Linked DNA regions of Coturnix japonica. The protein of the gene in region 1 purifies or fractionates together with the protein of each later gene. This does not show direct contact. Links are inferred from orthologs where the notes say so. Each region holds a gene or a part of one and is shown in the gene's direction. Other genes may lie near its edges.

Region 1 (4,256 bases):
GCTGAGCCCTGGCAGAGCAGCAGGGCTGGAACTGCTCTCAAATGAATGGGACAGAGCAGAAAGGAAAGTCACATTGCTGCCTGCCGCCTGGGGAGCTGTGAGATGCAGCCTTGACCTCAAATAGTTTCTATCTGCGGGCAGAGAGGAGGGAAGAGGATGCCGTCATCGAGTGTTGGAGCACTGCAGAGCAAGCAATGCTGTGTTAAACTGATAAAACCTGGCACCCACGTTGCTGCAGGGCTGCACATACTGTGAGTGCAGATGAAAACTCACTGGCTTGGAAGTAAAAGGGTGTTAGAAGTGCCTCTTTGGAAGATGGCTGCAGGGTGACAGCTGTACCATCTTCTTCAGTGCGTGGGCTTGGAATGTGAAAGATATTTCTGGAGAGCTGAACCTTACCAATAGAGCTGGCTCCAACAGCCAACAACGCTGGGTGAGATCCGACAAGCAATGGAGATGGGAAACTCAAACAGCCTCGTGTCGTGTCCTTGTGAACCCATCACTCCACAGTGACCTCCCGTCTGCTGTGGGGTGATGGTCATAAACCCAATGATGGGAGTCCATCCAGGAGAACGTGGCAGAAGTTTGGGTGTGGAATGGCACCAGAGCTCAGCTGTTCATGCCAGGAATCAAAACAGCGCACACGTTCTGGTTGAACAGCAGCAGTGATGTCTGCTGTAAGGCCTGGAGCACCTGCAGGGATGGGGCTCCCACTGCCCTGGGCAGCAGCGCAGCACATCACCGCCCTCTGGGTAAAGACTTCCCTCCTGGTAGCTCATCCAGACCTCCTCTCTTTGAGTTCAGACCCACAACCAGCCCCCTCCTGTCACCACACTCAGCCCGTCCCCAATCCCTGCGGGTGTGCGACCACCCTGCCCAGCGCTGCCATCCCCCCCTCCCACATCTCAGCTCATGTTTTCCCCTCGGCTGTCCCGAGCTCTGCAGCACGGCTCAGTGACTCCATGAACGTTGTGCAGAGCTGGACGCCCGTTGCTATAATTTGAGTTGTTTGCATCCCTTAATCTGTGTTTGTTCCCTCGGAAGTGCAGGGAGACACACGAGGGCAGAGGCTCTGGGTAAACACGGCGCTGCTCTCCCTGCACACCATTAGCTCCGGGTAAACAGAGCAACTGCCAGCGGTGGGACGGGCAATGGGGTGAAGGAAGGGAAGGGAAGGGAAGGCCAGCCGGCCAAGGCCCACGAATGGCGGCCTGCAGCGCTGCCTGGGGCGCGTCATGGGCGGGATCACCGTGCTGCTATAAGTACGGCTCACCTGGGCACCCAGCACAGCCGGGCTGAGCTGCACCACGTGGCACTCGGTGCTGGCGGGCGACGTGCGGGGAGACAGCAGAGCAAAGCAAAGCAAAGCAAAGCAGAGCAAAGCAAAGCAAAGCAAAGCAAAGCAAAGCAAAGCAAAGCAGAGCAAAGCAGAGCAGAGCAGAGCAGAGCAGAGCAGAGCGGAGCAGAGCAGAGCGGAGCGGAGCAGAGCAAAGCAAAGCAGAGCAGCGTGTTCCGTGCAGGCTGTGCTGCCGGCTGGATGCCGGCGTGGTGCTGCGGGTCGGGTGCTGCGGCACATGTCTGAGGGCTCCAGCGGTGTGACAGCGCTGGGCGATGGCACAGGCCCAGCTGGGGCTGGCTGCCCCCTTCACGCAGCCCCCGGCCGGGCCAGGACCTGACTCTGACTTTGACTCTGACTCTGAGGATGCGGCTGTGGGTGGTGCTGGGCCTGGCACCGCACGGCAGAGCCCGTCGCAGGTGATCCACAGCGGGCACTTCATGGTGTCATCCCCACACCACGACGCACCGCCCCACCGGCGGCACCGCCGTGCAGAGCCCTCAGCGGCCGATCCACGGAGCATTGACCCGACCCTGACGTGGCTCTTCGAGTGCATGAGCCTGGAGTACAGGTGAGTCCAGGGGCAACGCGCTGCTCCCAGCTCTCTGTGAGGCCCACCTGTATGGGTGTATGGCCGTGCTGCTAATTGCCCCGCTGCTAATTGCTATGTGCAAACTGACGGATGGCATCCCCATCTTCTGTTGGGCTGCGGTGTGATATCTGCTCACAAAACATCCTAGGAGGTTCATGGGGAAGGAGCTGGTGCTGGTGCAGCTCTGATGGAGCCAGCTGAGAATTCCTTCCTGTCCTGGAGCATCTTTCCCACTCTCCTCCAGCAGAGCCGTCATCACCGCCTGCAGCACTCGGCCTTCGGCCATTGGTGGCAGCAGGCACCTGCCTCCTGTGTATTAGTGCCCGGGCCGTGACTGCATCCCCCCTTTCACCAGGGCCCGAAGGCTCTTTGCATTCTCTGCACCTCACAGCAGAACCTGGCACAGCTTTCCCAAAACTTCCCCTGAAATCCTGGGGCAGCATCTCCTCTTGTTTGTAAGAACAGACCCAAGGAAAGCAGGCGGGAAGTTCTGCCTTTCTCCTGGTCCCGTACTGGGTCTCATTCAGTTGCTGGCCTCCCTCTGCCATGGAGCACAGTGAGGTCACTCTCAGGTGCTGGTGCAACCAGAGCTGTGCAGGAATGGGGTGGGCTTCAGCACTGGGTGACACAGCCCATGGTCACGTTCCTCGTCACCAGGCTGACAGCCAAGGTGTCACCAGCTGAGTAACCCTGGTGCCATGCATGGGTGGCACTGATGGACAGGGCAGCCCCACTTCCCTTTGCAGTCCCAGCCCCACACTTGTCCCACTTGCTGCACGGGGCTGGAGCTGCCCGCAATTCGTTCATGTGCCCCTGAGCTCCAGAGCTGCCGGGCAGAAAGGAGAGGGGCAAGTGGCTGGGAGGCAGAGTGGACAGGAGCTGTATGACACCCACACCTTATGCTGCAGATATGGCTCCCTCCCTTCAGGTGTCTTCTGTGCAGCAGCCCCAGGGCCATCACTGTGACAAACCGTAGCTGAAGTTGAATGGCAGCCCTTGGCAAGGAGGATCCACAACAGCTACGAAGTGTTAATGGCACCCCTGTCGGCCACCCAGAGCCTGAAACATCAGCAGTGTCTCCTAGCTGCCTTGTTCAGCACCCGTGGGAGCAGCTCTTGGTTGGCCCTGGATTCAGGGTAGCTGTGGGTAATGGAATCCAGCTGGGGACATTTTGCCATTAGACTGTACCCAAATTCTCCCCTTGGTTCTTCTCTTTCATGGATGCCTTTCTGTCCCTCCATGCTGCCCCTCTCCATCTCACAGACATCACATTCTGCAGCTTTCCAGGACCCTAAAAAGAGAGTCACTCCAATCAGAGCTCAGGTTCAGCCTCCTATGGAGGCTCAGGACTGAGAAATGGTCACTTTTCAGCCCTCTTGGGGCCGGCGCTTCCCCTCCTGCCACAGAACAAGGAAGGGCTCTGCTGCTGTGCACTGCTCCTGCGAGGGAAAGCCAGGGGGGCTCACGTTGGCAAGGAGGACCATCCCTTCGCCTTCTCCCCCTGCTACAGCCCATTTCCTTCGCACAGCCCTGCATCTCTCCAGCTCATTCCTTGCCCCTCCTCTTGGTGCTGACATGGAGCAAAACACTAATTTTACTGCACAGTGAGGGCTGCAACGCTTGAACTTCTGGGCACGTTGAAGGCATCATGGAGCAGACGGGGGCTGCTGGCTGCAGTGCCAGGATGGGTTCAGGCTGAGCTGTGTGTCCCACAGCCAGCAGTGGGGTTTGTGATCCCACCCCTGCAGGGCAGCGGGACACCTGCCCTGTGCCAGAGTGCTGCTGCATCCCAGTCCTCAGTGCAGTTCACATCCATCTCCTCTGGACAGAATTTCAGTAAAGGGTGGGGCTTCCTTCAAGGCGAACCAGTGTGCAAAGATCAGCCTGATAAGCTCCAAAACTGAAAGGATCATTAATGGGAAGAAAGCAGGTTGCGGCGCAGTTCAGAGGCATCTCCCTCCCAGCCCCAGGTGCAGTGTCACACTGCAGCCCCACCAGCCCCATGCAGGGCCACGCACCCTGCTGCAGTTCGGGGCCAGGGCTGTGGGCTCAGGCTGCTCCTTTAAGCCAGTGGGCAGCGTGGGCAGCACCAGGGAGGAGTGTGGCTGGTAGCCTTGACCAGCAGGAGCGGGCCACGTGCTGGGGAAGGCCGTCATTTCCATTGGCTCCTCTGCCTGGCAACGCCACGCTGTTTGTTTTGTGCCATGGGGAAAGTTCAAAATCCCTGCTGATAGTGGAATGGCCAGTGCAGAGACGGGGCCTTAACCCTCTGCAGGCCACAGTGGTGGGGACAGGGTCCTTCCTGGCCTGGGGGCACAGAACGTCTCT
Region 2 (4,028 bases), on another chromosome or scaffold:
TGAACAAAGACGGGACGATCAACAGGAAGATCCTCGGGGCAAAAGTGTTTGGAAACCAGGTACGAGCAGCACAGGGAATGTCAATATTTAACCTCATGAGCAGAGAACTCTGTGCTGGCGCTTTGATTTCCAGCCCTTTGAGCTGATGCCACGTCCCTGTGCAGTAGCACACAGTAAATCAGCGGCTGTGCAGGATCCACATCCAGGCAGCAGCTGCTGTTGCTCCTCCAGCTGTGGCCCCCTCGTGGACCAACCTCTGGGAGGACCCTGACTCCGCTGCGGTTCCTTTCCAGGAGCGGCTGAAGAACCTCACAGACATCGTGTGGCCGGAGATCGCGCGGATGGTCAGGGAGCAGATCAGGGAGGCAGGAGCTCAAGGTACCGGGTGGCTCTGATTGTAGTGGGCGCTGCCGGCGCTGCCTGTGTCCGCCCGGTGACCAGGAACGGCCTCGTTCCGTAGGAAAAGCCGTGATGGTGCTGGATGCCGCCGTGCTGCTGGAGGCCGGATGGCAGGAGATGGTGCACGAGGTGTGGGCGGCCATCATCCCCGAGGACGAGGTGGGTGACTCCCCTCGGCCGCCCCGTGATCCCCGTGACCCCCCGTGACCCCCGTGATCCCCGTGACCCCCGTGATCGCCGTGATCCCCGTGATCGCCGTGACCCCCGTGATCGCCGTGACCCCCCGTCCCGTGCTGGTCCCGCAGGCGCTGAAACGCATCGTGAGCCGGGACGGGCTGAGCGAGGAGGCGGCGCGTGACCGGCTGCGGAGTCAGATGAGCGACGGGCAGCGGGTGCGGGAGGCGCATGTTGTGCTGAGCACCGCGTGGGAGCCCGACGTCACCCACAAACAGGTGAGAACGGGCCGCTGTAACGGGCCGGTGTAACGGCGCCGAGCCCCGCACGAAGCTGCTGACGGTGCCCGTTGTCAGGTGGAGAAGGCGTGGGAGCTGCTGCAGCGCCGCATCCACCGCGCGGCCACCGCAACGAGCAGCTGAACCGCAACGGGACCGAGAGGAGCCGGGACCGGGAGCGAACGGAGCGAACGGAGCGAACGGAGCCGCACAACGCGCCGGGACGGACCGGAAGCGCCGCGGCCCCGACCGGGCGGGTACGGCCCGTGCTCGGCACGGCGGGCGCTGCCGGTTCCGCGCCGTGATCCCGCAGCCGAGCGGCGGTTAAAGGGCGGTCGCAGTTTCCCGGTGTCCGTGCTGTTTGTGTCCCGTTGGTCCCGTTGTTCCCGTTGTTCCCGTTGTCCCCACGTGGCGCCCCCTCGCGGTCGGGAGGGCGGCGCTTCCCGGCGTCCCCCGCGGCTCCCACGTGACCGGGGCGGGGGAAGATGGCGGAGCCGCCCGGTGCCGCGGCGGAGGAAGCGTGGGGGAAGGTAACGGGGCGGCGGTCGGACCGTGGGGCCGAGGCCCGGAGCGCCACCATCCGCCCCGTGACCGCCGCCCTCCGCCCGCAGGTGGACGCCGCGTACGGGGACAATGTCCCGGAGCCCGGTAGGTGCCGGGGGGGGCGGTTCGATGGCGGGTGGCGGATGGGGCGGCTCCGCTGAGCGGCTCCCGCTGTCCCGCAGCGCTCGGTACGGACAGGAAGGGCAGCGTCGTGTCCCGCGCCAACAGCATCGGATCCACCAGCGCCTCGTCCGTGCCCAACACCGGTACGAACGGGGGCACCGGGCTGGAGCGGGGCGGGCGCGGGGCAACCGGGGACGGCGGCGTCCGGGGGGGCCCGTCCCGACCCGCGCTCAGCGCCGCTGTGTCCGCAGACGACGAGGACAGCGATTACCCGCAGGAGTTTTACAAGGAGTCCTACAAGGACCAGCGGCGCCGGGCGCACACGCAGGCGGAGCAGAAGCGGCGCGATGCCATCAAGGTCGGTGGGCGCCGCGCCGCGTTCCAGCCCCTCGTCCCGTGCTGGATCCGCTCCATGAGCCGCGTGTGGCTGGAGCCGCTTTGGCCGCGTGGTGGGAGCTGGGCTGTGGGTCCGTGTAACCGCTGCCGTTTGTGCCTGTTCTGCTCCCTCTGCCCCTGCAGAAAGGCTACGACGACCTGCAGGCCATCGTGCCCACCTGCCAGCAGCAGGACTTCGCCATCGGCTCCCAGAAGCTGAGCAAGGCCGTCATCCTGCAGAAGAGTGAGTGTGTGCAGGAGGCAGCAGGGCACGATCCGACCCTCAGGCACCTCAATGTGGTGATTGTGTGTGATGGTGCCTCGGGGACCGACCTCAGGGAGGTCAGAGGGGCCCCATGTGCTGCTTACTCTGTGTTTTTGTGTTCAGCCATTGATTACATTCAGTTCCTGCACAAGGAAAAGAAGAAGCAAGAAGAGGAAGTTTCTACTCTCAGGAAAGACGTGATGGCCTTGAAGATAATGAAAGTGTAAGTAAGAAGTTATTTGGTTGCTGCCCCCTTCTTCCTGCTGTTTTTCCCCATGTCCCTGCAAAGCTCCCCCGATGTGCTCAGTGCTCTGTGTGCAGTCTGGCACCTGGGGTCGTACCAAATTGCCTCCAGTTCTGAAGCTGTTTTCAGTGTCCAGTTACTGGCAGCAGCTTCTGCCCCCGCTGTCGCCCAGCTGCTGTGCAGTACGAGGCTTCGATAGCACTGAGCCCCAAACTTGGTGTTTCAGGAACTATGAGCAGATCGTAAAAGCTCACCAGGACAACCCGAGTGAGGGGAAGGACCAGGTCTCTGACCAGGTGAAATTCAACGTTTTCCAAGGCATTATGGATTCCCTCTTTGAGTCCTTTAATGCCTCCATCTCAGTCACGAGTTTTCAAGAGCTGTCAGCATGTGTCTTCAGCTGGATTGAGGAGCACTGTAAGCCCCATGTGAGTACAGCAGACACAGGGGGGTTGATATAAGAGCAGAGGCTGTTGTGTATGGCTGCACCTGTCTGGAGTGTAGGCCTGTGTGCAGCTTTTCTTTCGCCTGGGCCTTCAGAAAGGCAGAATGTGGCTGACACTGGACCTGGGGCATGGGAGCTTGGGTTCCTCTCATTTCCCAGCTGCTTGGCAGTGAAATTCAGACACTGAAAAACAGAGCTTACAAAGAGGGTGCTTGTTCCCCAGCACTTTGTTCCATAAGACACTTAGAAGTTAGGAGGGAAGAGAATGAGCTGCATGGGCAGGGCCAGGTCCTTGTTGTGCTGTGGCTGCCTGGAGCCCTGCAGCCTGAGAACACAGACAGGCGATCGTTTCCCATACAGGTGCTGAGATCTGTGGCACCAGGTGCTGTCTGTAGCATTGAGCATGGGAAAGGCTTTTCCTCCCCTGAACAACTGACTGTGTCTCCTCTCTGCCCCAGACCCTACGGGACATTGTCATCGGGGTCCTGCACCAGGTGAAGAGTCAGCTGTACTGAGCATCCCTCGCTGGAGCACCTCCCGACCGGGTGACAGCTGCCAGGAGAGGCTGGACCATCTCCCTTGTGCTGGTCCTTAAAGCTTCTTCGATTATTTATTGTCACTACAAAACCAAACCAAAGCTGTGCAAACAGGTACTGTCACAGTCAACGTTACCAAATACTGCTAAGGACTTAGTGAAGGGAAAGAAATAAGTGTGTATTGAATATAGATCTTTTAAGTTGCCAGTGTCTTTAGCTCAGGCAGGTGGTTGCAGTTGGGTTTATCTGTGCCACTGATTTCAGGGCTGCAGCTCAGCAGGTGAATCTGCTCTGTAACCTCACACCTGATATAAACCCTATTGAACCTGGGAGCAGGGAGAAATAGGAGAGTGCTAAAAGCTGTTGCTGTGCTAATGCAGCTCAGGAATAGGGTTATTCTGCAGCTGCAGGTTTTCAATACCTCCCTCTGAAGCAGCTCTTAGAAAAGCAAGAGTCTGCTTTTAATTTCTGTAGCTGCTTTGGAGAAGGCCCGGGAGAACTGAGGGCAGGTTTATTAGCATGTCACTGCCAGGGCAATGCTCATTACATGGAGCAGCAAGCGAGCTCTGTGCTGAAGGAGTGCCCTGGGGCCTCGCTGTGCTGACTCTTCAGTAACACCCCTGAATGGGAAAGGAGTGAACTTTCA

What was found. Proteins that work in one complex are often made in the same cells at the same time.
Region 2: the proteins of MLXIPL (region 1) and MLX purify together in Homo sapiens (affinity purification with western blotting; 3 studies listed by BioGRID and IntAct, counting the BioPlex papers as one, with this or other methods). This does not show direct contact. The link is inferred for Coturnix japonica from reciprocal best matches to the Homo sapiens genes MLXIPL and MLX.

What each region holds. Positions count from the first base shown.
Region 1 is NC_029534.1:140,776-145,031, reverse strand, and holds the start of MLXIPL (carbohydrate-responsive element-binding protein), read left to right. Parts: upstream 1-1,454; 5' UTR 1,455-1,611; coding exon 1,612-1,907; intron 1,908-4,256. UniProt on the Homo sapiens protein: Binds DNA as a heterodimer with MLX/TCFL4 and activates transcription. Binds to the canonical E box sequence 5'-CACGTG-3'. Plays a role in transcriptional activation of glycolytic target genes. Involved in glucose-responsive gene regulation.
Region 2 is NC_029542.1:4,577,953-4,581,980, forward strand, and holds the start of MLX (max-like protein X), read left to right. Parts: upstream 1-1,220; 5' UTR 1,221-1,336; coding exon 1,337-1,381; intron 1,382-1,462; coding exon 1,463-1,499; intron 1,500-1,576; coding exon 1,577-1,660; intron 1,661-1,768; coding exon 1,769-1,875; intron 1,876-2,036; coding exon 2,037-2,136; intron 2,137-2,280; coding exon 2,281-2,380; intron 2,381-2,627; coding exon 2,628-2,829; intron 2,830-3,304; coding exon 3,305-3,361; 3' UTR 3,362-4,028. Other genes in the region: bifunctional coenzyme A synthase-like, read left to right, coding at 1-59, 294-378, 461-558, 705-851, 907-1,179. UniProt on the Homo sapiens protein: Transcription regulator. Forms a sequence-specific DNA-binding protein complex with MAD1, MAD4, MNT, WBSCR14 and MLXIP which recognizes the core sequence 5'-CACGTG-3'. The TCFL4-MAD1, TCFL4-MAD4, TCFL4-WBSCR14 complexes are transcriptional repressors.